2 linked regions of the Drosophila melanogaster genome follow. Changing the gene in region 1 together with any one later gene gives a genetic interaction. Each region holds a gene or a part of one and is shown on either strand. Other genes may lie near its edges.

What was found.
Region 2: of raw (region 1) and Jra, changing one suppresses a phenotype caused by changing the other (phenotypic suppression), as found in Drosophila melanogaster (3 studies listed by BioGRID).

Annotation. Positions count from the first base shown.
Region 1 is NT_033779.5:8,737,416-8,742,553, forward strand, and holds the start of raw (raw), read right to left. Parts: upstream 3,246-5,138; 5' UTR 2,999-3,245; coding exon of another isoform or gene 2,970-2,998; intron 1-2,969.
Region 2 is NT_033778.4:10,094,370-10,099,209, forward strand, and holds Jra (Jun-related antigen), read left to right. Parts: upstream 1-2,110; 5' UTR 2,111-2,227; intron 2,228-2,558; exon of another isoform or gene 2,559-2,635; 5' UTR 2,636-2,769; intron 2,770-2,873; 5' UTR 2,874-2,897; coding exon 2,898-3,767; coding exon of another isoform or gene 3,768-4,016; 3' UTR 4,017-4,187; downstream 4,188-4,840. Other genes in the region: CG2269 (uncharacterized protein), read left to right, coding at 1-265, 327-609, 680-874; RpLP0-like (ribosomal protein LP0-like), read right to left, coding at 4,222-4,716, 4,777-4,840.

The sequences.
Region 1 (5,138 bases):
AGATGCTGTCATAGACGCGCCTTTTATGAGCATTTCGCGATGATGCCATGCGACTGTGGGTTATCTGGGGTTGTATGCTGGCCAAAAATCCATCTAAGCCTTATTAATTGCTGGCCACGGGTTGAGAACAAGGTGAAAACATTTTTAATTGCGGTTTCGGATAATCGCGGATTACACTTTTTGAACGTACTAACAATGGTAGCCATTATTTTGGGTATTTAATTGGAGGAGATAAAATGGGATAACATATTGTTGATACTTTTATACTTGACACACAAAACACAACAGAAGATGCAGATAAGAAAGTGATTCCTAGTTGTGATTGTTTCTATTTTCCTAACATCTTTAGTTGGGAAAAACAAAATTACTGCATAATTACAATATAGTTTGTAGTAATCAAATATTTGCTATTGGATAACTTGTCATTTCAGAAGAATTAGATAAGATAACAAAATACAAAACAATAATATTTGTACTTCAAATGGAAAACAATTTGGACTTTGTTAATTTGTGGATAAGGTTAAAGGAATGCAACAAGTGTAAATTATGTCCAATCCAATTGATATTTTAAATACATTGAAAGTAAGTATTGCGAATTTTATATATTTTTACTAAGTATTCAAAACATCCATATACTGTGAAATATTTTCGAAACGAATCATGTAGCTTAAATGGAAATAATTGACTTAAACAATGTGTTCGATTAGTCAGTCAATTGCTGTCCCACTTTTCAGACAGATTTTCCCATCCTCTAACCAAAGAAAATCTAGAACTCACCTCACCCACGAATTTTTGTTGTTTGATTGGCAACCGATTGTCGGTTGATTGACAAACTGTTTGAATGTGTGCGAGGAGGGGCAGTGACTTTACGATGACATGGCTAACGACTATTGTATACCCTTGAAACGTAACCTTCTTGCTTCTTAAGCTAATACTATTTAATAATAGCAATTGATTTAGAGAGCATTTTACCTTCGGCTTCAGTTTGAGGAAATTTTATTTATGTTTCTGCCAGCTGATAAGCGGCTGTCGATTGTTTTTTAGGCGCTAACATACGGACAACAATTCAATCAAGTATCCATCACAAACACACGCATTGACAGCCGTGCCCAGATAAGCAAATGGTTGGATAACAAAGGCCTACACAGATAATACCAATCGCAAACACAGGGAAGCATTCGGGTTTGTTTGTATGCGTGAATATTTGCTATAAAGTCGAAAGAAAAAAAGTTTATCGCACGCAAACAAAAACGACCTTCGGTAATGATGCCTTTGTATTTACCTAGCCATATTAATGTCGCGTCGGTTTCTTATTGCCAATTTGCCATTTTAAGGTACAAGTATATTTTCGAAAGCATACACGTTAAGATTCCGTTCTTCTCTTCCTGGGTTTTTATGTGCAACTGCTGCTGCATGATTGTAAATATTTTGGGATTTCATTTTATTTTTCCCTGGCACGCTTATTCATTTCCCGCCTGTTTACATTTTAATTGCTCGGTCAGCACTGGCGTTAAAATTTTTAAATCAAGAAGATCACAAAAGCGTTTTCCCTCGCATTCTCAACATTTGTATCTCTCTTTTTTTCGGTCAGCAAAGTACACCGCATATAGAGTGCCCTACAAAATCTGAGTACTAGTTAAATATTTATTCCAGTGAAATAGACTGATAAAAGGCCAAACAATTAATCTTAATACGCAGAAGTACCGTTCAAGATTGTGGAAAATTTCGAAAATTTTATACGGTGCTCTTAAAACATTCTGAAACAAACTGAAACAAGCGACCTAAAACTTATTTTTAAGTGTATTTATGTTTATAAGCCAAAATAAAATCCTACAAGTTTAAAACATTTTTATTGCTTAGATAATTTATTTACCAAAAAGTTATCACGAATGCAAATATACCTGTGCTGCAGTTACTGCTTCTCCGTAATTGCTTTCTGTTTTGTATAACAACAATAATATTTATTTCATAATATTTACTTTATTTTCCAAACAGTGCATTGTTATTTGGCCGGTAATGTTTACTAATTTGCGTGCTGTTGTCATTGCAAAAAATGTACCAACATGTTACATCTTTGTGCACTTTTGTTTCCGGCTTTGTGACAATTGAGTGCATAAACTTAATTACTGTCAAGATGTCACAACAGCAAGGCAATTGGATGATCGAGTGATATACTATTTGTTTTCAGAGATATAAGGAAACACTATGAAGACTCATTTCATGCTTTATGTGTTCGGGAAATAAAGTTCTTGAACATTTCATGTATACAACACTATTAATTATAGTATTCTCAATTATTCTCTTTTGATTTGTACGTTGTTTACTGCTGGCAGTTTTTTTTTTAAATTTCTTTAAAAATTACGTTTTTTTTTTACCATTCACAACTTTGGCCTCCAACTTAGTGTTTACTCCTTTTCTTGAAAAATGAGGCTAAGAAAGCCTGGGAAAATTACCTACACATCAACAAAGTGTAAACAATGATTTTTGTGAAAATAGACCAAGTTTTTTAACTCGCACACAAAAGCACGGAAATTGGCGAAAGAAACGAATTCAACTAACGGACGAAAAAGCTTAGGTCATTGACCAAAAAAAGAAATAACATTGCAAAGAGCGCTAGACTGCTCAGCTCTCTCTTACTATTTCTCTTTATAGTTCGAACACGTTTTCCAAGTAAAAATCCAACGACGCCACTTTTACCTGCGTTTGTGTGTGTGTGTGCATAGGTGAGTGAGCTCCCCACTCACCTATGCACACACACACGCGAGCGGTACAAAACCATTCTGTTATTTTCCTTGTTTACAAAAGCAACAAAACCAAATTGTTGTTATTGCTTTTGTATTGCTACCAAAGAGGCGCGCTTACGTCATTCATAATATTAAAGCGCAAAGAGAGAGTCTAGAACTACAACAACAGCAATAAGAGCACGAAAGCAATCTGGCACATGCTGTTTTTGTTGGGACTGAAATTACCTGAGGAATAATTTAACCATTTTGTGCATTTTGCGCTCTCTTCTCGACTATTTTGTTTAATCAATTCTTTACGGCAGCTCCATTGTTTTCAGACCGCACTCTCATTTGCGTGGAGCCGATTCACTTGGCACGTTTTAGAAAAAAACAAAACATCCTTTGGTTTATTACTCAGCAAGCATTTGGTTCACTGTTGTCACATTTTAAACAATTAGTTTATTGTATTTGCATTAGGAAACTGTTGGGTTCTCTTTAGATTTCTAAATTCGTCTCTGGTGTGACCAGCTGGTGGAACGGCGAAAATACTATCGAGTATTTGGTAACACTAATGCTTGTACAGAATGTTAACATTTGTGAGTGAATTTTGTAAGTTGGTTAACACCACGTAAAAACTGTGAAACTTATTTAATTAATATATATTATATATTAAAGCATGCTGTCTTTGCAGCAGTGCTGATATCTTTTATAAAAAAACAACTTAAGATGAAAAAGAGGTAAAATATATTGTAAGAGTTCACATTTTCGGTACCTGATTGTTTCCATATACACTTGGGTAAATAAGTACAAAATTCATTTGTCGAGAAAAAGTTACATTGGCACCATTGTATAACAGTTCAAAGTTAATGATGTTTGATGCTGCCAATGTAAATTCTTCAGATAACGAGCCTTGCCATCTTAATAGATTAGGAATACAAGCGTTGCCACCAAAATTTTAACGAACGTATACTCAGTTGTATTCGATGGTTGTTGTCTTGGGTGCATGTAAAAATTAGCAGAAGAGCACTTTTTTGTGTTAAAATTAACATTTCAATAACATTGTAAAATTCTGTTAGGTAACAGTATCACAAATTTAAATCTATGTTATATTTGCTCTGATCTAACTTTTGCAAATTATTCAAGATTATTTTAAAATCCTGACATCGTGGGTATATCTGCATTATTATTAATGAAATGTTGTATTAACAAAATACGGAATGTGGAAATTAGAAAATTTTTTCTTTAAGATAATAGAAAAATTAGTAAAATCTTAATGTTCCCTTTTTAAATGAAAAATGTCTTTTCGAATAGTTCTTATTTACTAAATGTATATAATTTTGATTTGGAAGTGCCACTTCCAAGTGATATCAAGAATTAAGTGCTTGTGGCTAGTCATATCTGAGAAAGTGCATGAAGACTTGTAATACTTTGCCGCCTCTGCTGATTTAAGTATATTTTTAAAAGACAATTAAATGATTTGCCTGCAAGTGTTGCAGTAATGAATGGACCCAGAAGTGTTTGCTTCTTAATTGGCAATTTCCTAATGGCGAAATGCGTTTTGCACCTACTTTAAATGCCACCTTGGCGTATTGTTTTGGCTTAATTTAAATTACCTGTTTGAGTAATGAACAGTCTCAGCCACGGGCTGCAACAATAATAACGCGACTCTCAACTCATTATGCATTGTTTATTGCCACTCAAAGTAGCATTTTCACCCTCTTTCCAGCATTTTCCGAGCACTGCAGCATTACTCTTAATGCATGTGCAACAATAGGAAACTCCACTTCCACTTTTCTTCGCCCACCAACTCTTCTTGTGCACTGATATTTGGCTTTTCGCAGAAACAGTCGGAAAAACAGCAGCCTTTTCCTTAACATTTTCTTGTAAATAAATATCTATTAATAAGAAACTTACATAAATCATTTAAAAGGTGTGTATATATAAAACTATAAATTAAGAATTCGCTATTTATAAATAATTATGAATTGAATAAGTAAATCCCTTAAAATCATTTTGCTAGCAAAAATAGCAATTCAGTTATTGAATGGCCCCATTTTCATCTAAACTGGGATTTTCCCGATAGCTTTTCCTCGCAGCAGTAGGATCAGTGCAGTCACCGGATTTATATTGGCACATCCAGGTGTTCCTGGATGGCAAGTCAAGTCTGGCACTTCATTATGCACATTAAGATACAAGTTCTTTTCGCACTGACGAGGTGGTATCTTAACTTAATTTAACCAACTAGGGGCCAGCGGGCGGTCCTCTGAGGGGGCGGGTTTTCCGTGTGTGCCGCTAATGGGCTTAATAAAAAATGCAACATTTTGATTTAATTTAATTGAAATTCACGCCACTCGAGCAACTCCATTAGGCAGAAACGTGTCCGACGTCAAGGATGCAGATGATGGCAGCGTCGAG
Region 2 (4,840 bases), on another chromosome or scaffold:
CCATCAAGTATACGGGTGCACACGAGGGACTCAACAGCAAGGACGACATCCGCAGAATCAAGGACCATGTCCTCTCGCGCTTGGCAACCGCTTACAGTCTGGAGAAAATGCGCAGGGCTCTGGATAAGTTAAGGAGATCAGTGGACAACGAGAGTCACCTGATGCGCAATACCATCGAACCGGAATCCGAGGAGAACGCGTTGGACTCCAATTACTGGTTGAACAAAAAGTCGGTGAAGAAGGAGCAGGCAGATCAACTGGCAGAGTAAATGAAAATGCCCTTAAATTTACATTATTTCGATGTGTTTATTTCTCAAATCCTCCAGAGACTCGAGACCACCCAAGGACATGGAAAAGAGGAAGCGCAGTGGTTACTTGCGCTATCCGGAGCAGCCAAATACCATGGAGGAGGCACTCAGCCTGGGCAGCGCTCCCTACGAGACCCTAAACGACGCCTATCTGGGCAACAAGAACTACATTGTGGGCTCCAACCAGTGCCCCATTATCGAGTCCATGGCGGAGCGCTGTCGGGGCGTCGATCTCATCTCCGGAGACATTAACCAGGAGCTCCTGCCCCTCTGCGGTGTTCACCAGATATGCTATCTATGTGTAAGTGAAAACAGGATGCCTGAGTCGAGTATGGTTAACTATAGTTTACCCATTGCATTTCCGTTTCCAGGGTGCCTCACAGGTAGCCTGCGACTATCAGTACTTGGCGGAGGCGGATAGCGTTTGCGGCGACAGCAACGACTGCCAGTCGGCGGCCCGTTCCATCCTGATGATCCTGCGGGGATCACACGGCCGGCAGCTGGGTCCTAGGGAGTGCTTGAAGAATCCCTGCTTGTACAGGGCCATGCGGGAGATTGGGCTTTAAGCGAACTGCTCCGAATTGCCGCCCAGTGTTTTCCTAACGTCTCTTTTGTGTGCGTTTAAAAAGAAAATCATAAATCGAAAATGAAAATGACAACCCCGCAATGCAAAGCAGAGAGAGAGAGAGAGAGAAGATAACAATATGAGCCCAAAAAACCAATATAAAAACCTTGCTGAACTGGCAAAAATCAAACAAACGATTGATTCAAAACCAAATAGTCGTCGCATACAATGACATAATATTTTGATGGATTTTCCTGACCGCCTCGCGAGGCGGCAGCAGCCAACTAGAGTTTACCAGATACCTAAAGAGATGCATATAGATATACATACAATTTGGATTCAGTTAATCGCAGTAGACGCCCGATGCGGCCCGATTTATTTGGTTTAAGTGTTCAGCGTAAAATGGAATTTTTCGAAACATATTTGCACGTTTTATGGGTGTTTAAGTGTACAAACGTGATCATAGACGAAACATAACACACATACATATGCTTAACCAAGACATACAAGTATTTAATCCACAGCCAGCTTTTTAAGTAACTCAACTCGCTTGACATTCTAAGCAAAATGAAAGGCAGAGCTCACATTGGCAGCTAGTCCTCCAAAGTCACCGTCAGAATTCTTCTATTCGGTTTGACTTGGATGTGTGCACATACATACGTGCGTGTGCCATACCATAATACACTATACACATTATACATATATAACGATTTTAGCCTACACCGGGAAAAAAACTATGTATCTTTGCGAACGCCAAATGCAGAGCAACTAACTATAGTATCTGAGACTTCTCTCTCCGCATTACTTGTCTACAGATGAACATATACATTAATGTGTTTCAACGTGCTTACAATAAATGGACATAACTAAGACAAATATTTGAAGCTCTAACAAATCTATAGATGTGATTATTAATATATACAAGGAGTTTAATAAATGTGTAAATCTTTTAGGGCCAGCATATATACCAATCTGAACAACAGCAAGACGTTTGGTTGCGAAATCAAAATATTATTAATGTATTTACATAAACGAACAAATATATATATTTAAACTTGATGTATATGCTACAGTTTGAAAAACAAAACAAAACAGAACAAAAACCCATATTTGAAAATATTTATTGCTATACAGTTATCATAAATGTCGAATATAAATATATCGGGAATATCCCAAAAACGTATGGCCTTTTTTCTCGGATGTTTTCAAATTATTTGCGAATGTTCCGAGTTAAGTGTCATATTTTGTTTCCCCTTTTCAATTGTAACTCGCAAAATCACAAAATCATGAGCATCAGTGTTTTCCTGGAGTTCCTGACATAATGGATCCGTCTGGACAGTTTGTGGTTCCCCAAGTGCGAAAACAATATCTTAACCAGACCGAAAAATATATTTCCTTTCCTATTTACCGACGCCCAGGAGTGATAAAGAGATCTATTGCATCTTCTTTTACTGCCAAACATCAAGAAAATTTCAAGAAAAACATGAAAGACTAGCGACGGCCTTGTTTCCATTCACCTTTCATAATGATTTAGTAAATGTTAAAAAAAACCTATATTGTATTTTATTAACTTAGCTACCGGTAATGGTTTGTGTCACTGCTAAGCTTCTTGCTTGAGTCAATGCTGCCCATTGTTTAAACATCGCATTTAAAGACCAGTATCGATAGCAATATCGAATAAATAATCGACACTTGTACCACCGCTAGCACTCATTCTGAAAACAACCTTGCGCGTAATAAATATTTTCGTAAAATTATTTAGCGAAACCAAAATAAAAATCAAACGATTCGTTGGCCGATAAAACCGGTGATTAAGCAGTGGCAGTGCAGAAAGCAGAAAACACAAAAGTACAGATTGTGCTAATCAAATTTTGCAAGCAAAGTTCCCACCCACTGGTGAGTAAGAAGAAGAGCGAGTTATTCGCATGACTCATCGCGAAACGAGTTTTTATCAGATTGTTTTCATTCCGTTTTCGTCTCTTTCACTTCATCCGAATCAGATTGACGTCATTGCTTGAGCAAACATGAAAACCCCCGTTTCCGCTGCTGCGAACTTAAGTATTCAGAATGCTGGCAGTTCCGGAGCAACTGCCATTCAGATCATACCTAAAACCGAGCCCGTTGGAGAAGAAGGCCCCATGTCACTGGACTTTCAGTCGCCGAACCTGAACACATCCACCCCGAATCCTAACAAGCGTCCCGGCTCGCTGGATCTGAACAGCAAGAGTGCCAAGAACAAGCGCATCTTCGCACCACTGGTCATCAACTCACCGGATCTGTCATCCAAGACGGTAAACACACCCGATTTGGAGAAGATCCTGCTATCCAACAATCTGATGCAAACACCGCAGCCGGGAAAGGTGTTCCCCACCAAGGCGGGGCCCGTCACCGTGGAGCAGTTGGACTTCGGCAGGGGATTCGAGGAGGCCTTACACAATCTTCACACTAACTCCCAGGCATTTCCGTCCGCCAATTCCGCCGCTAATTCCGCCGCCAATAACACAACTGCGGCAGCCATGACAGCGGTGAACAATGGCATCAGCGGAGGCACCTTCACCTACACCAACATGACCGAGGGCTTCTCGGTGATTAAGGACGAGCCCGTCAATCAAGCCAGCTCGCCCACCGTTAATCCCATTGACATGGAAGCGCAGGAGAAGATCAAGCTGGAGCGCAAGAGGCAGCGTAACCGTGTGGCTGCATCCAAGTGCCGCAAGCGCAAGTTGGAGCGCATCTCAAAGCTGGAGGATCGCGTGAAGGTACTTAAGGGCGAGAACGTCGACCTGGCTAGCATCGTGAAGAACCTCAAGGACCATGTGGCGCAGCTGAAGCAGCAGGTGATGGAGCACATTGCCGCGGGCTGCACGGTGCCGCCGAACTCGACAGACCAATAACATTTGGAGTTGTCAGCCGGGGAGAATGATGAGGAGGACGTGGCACTGGAGACTGAAACCCCCTCGAATCCTGAAGATCCCGAGCAACCCATGCCTCTGGAATTCTTTTCAAGTGCTAGCACCGGTGCCTTGGAGCTGGAGGGCTCGGCCTCTCAGGATATTTCCCTAACTAACAGCGAACTCCTGGAGGAGGAGAGCGATAACGAACAGCCTCTGGTGCTCTACATCCTCGCGGACGACGCAACCTGAGGCTTTGTGCCTTTCTTTGGTTTTAGCTGCAATATCTGAAATGCTTCTTAAGTGTTTTGTTTACTTAGTTATTAGTATAAGCTAGTGTTAATCAAGTATTATCTGTGTTGAACGTAAGATAATATGTAATGTACTTTTAAAATATACGTATATTTTCTGCACTTGATATATACATAAAAAAATTATTTCTACGCCTTAAACTTATTTATTCATCATCCTCCTCTTCGTCATCATCGTCGTCGTTGTCATCCATGGCCTCGGCCTCGGCCTCCTCTTCCATTGCGCTATCAGCCTGTTCCTCGTCGTTCACATCATCCTCGACATGCAGCTGGAAGCCTTCGCTTTTTGTCCACGAGCACTTCATGGTCAGCCGAAATTTGGCCATGGGCTTGCCCACCAGCTTGAGGATTCTCGCCTGTTCGGGTGTTAGAACTTTGCCCTCCTCACAAACCGTGTAGTCACTGTACAGCGTAACGATTCCCTTCTCCAATTTGGTGGGCAGGCCCAGGGAACGCAGATGCGGTTCCATAGAGTGGGCGAAGTCCTCTAGGGGACCTGCTGGCAGGGTAACCGTTTCCGTGGCCACAAAGCCACTGCGTGCGTATTCCACGGCCCAGTAGTTTTCTGCCCACTCCAGGACTTCCTCCTTGGATTTGTCCGTGAAAAGCAGTCCCACCTGGCCAGTTAATCGCTTGGATAGCTAATAGACATAGCCTGTGATTAGTGTCTGATATATGTTAATCCACTTAAACTTAATTACCTTGTGCAATTCCGGCTCCACTTCCTCGCTCTTCGTGCGACCCAAGCCAATCTGCATAACACGA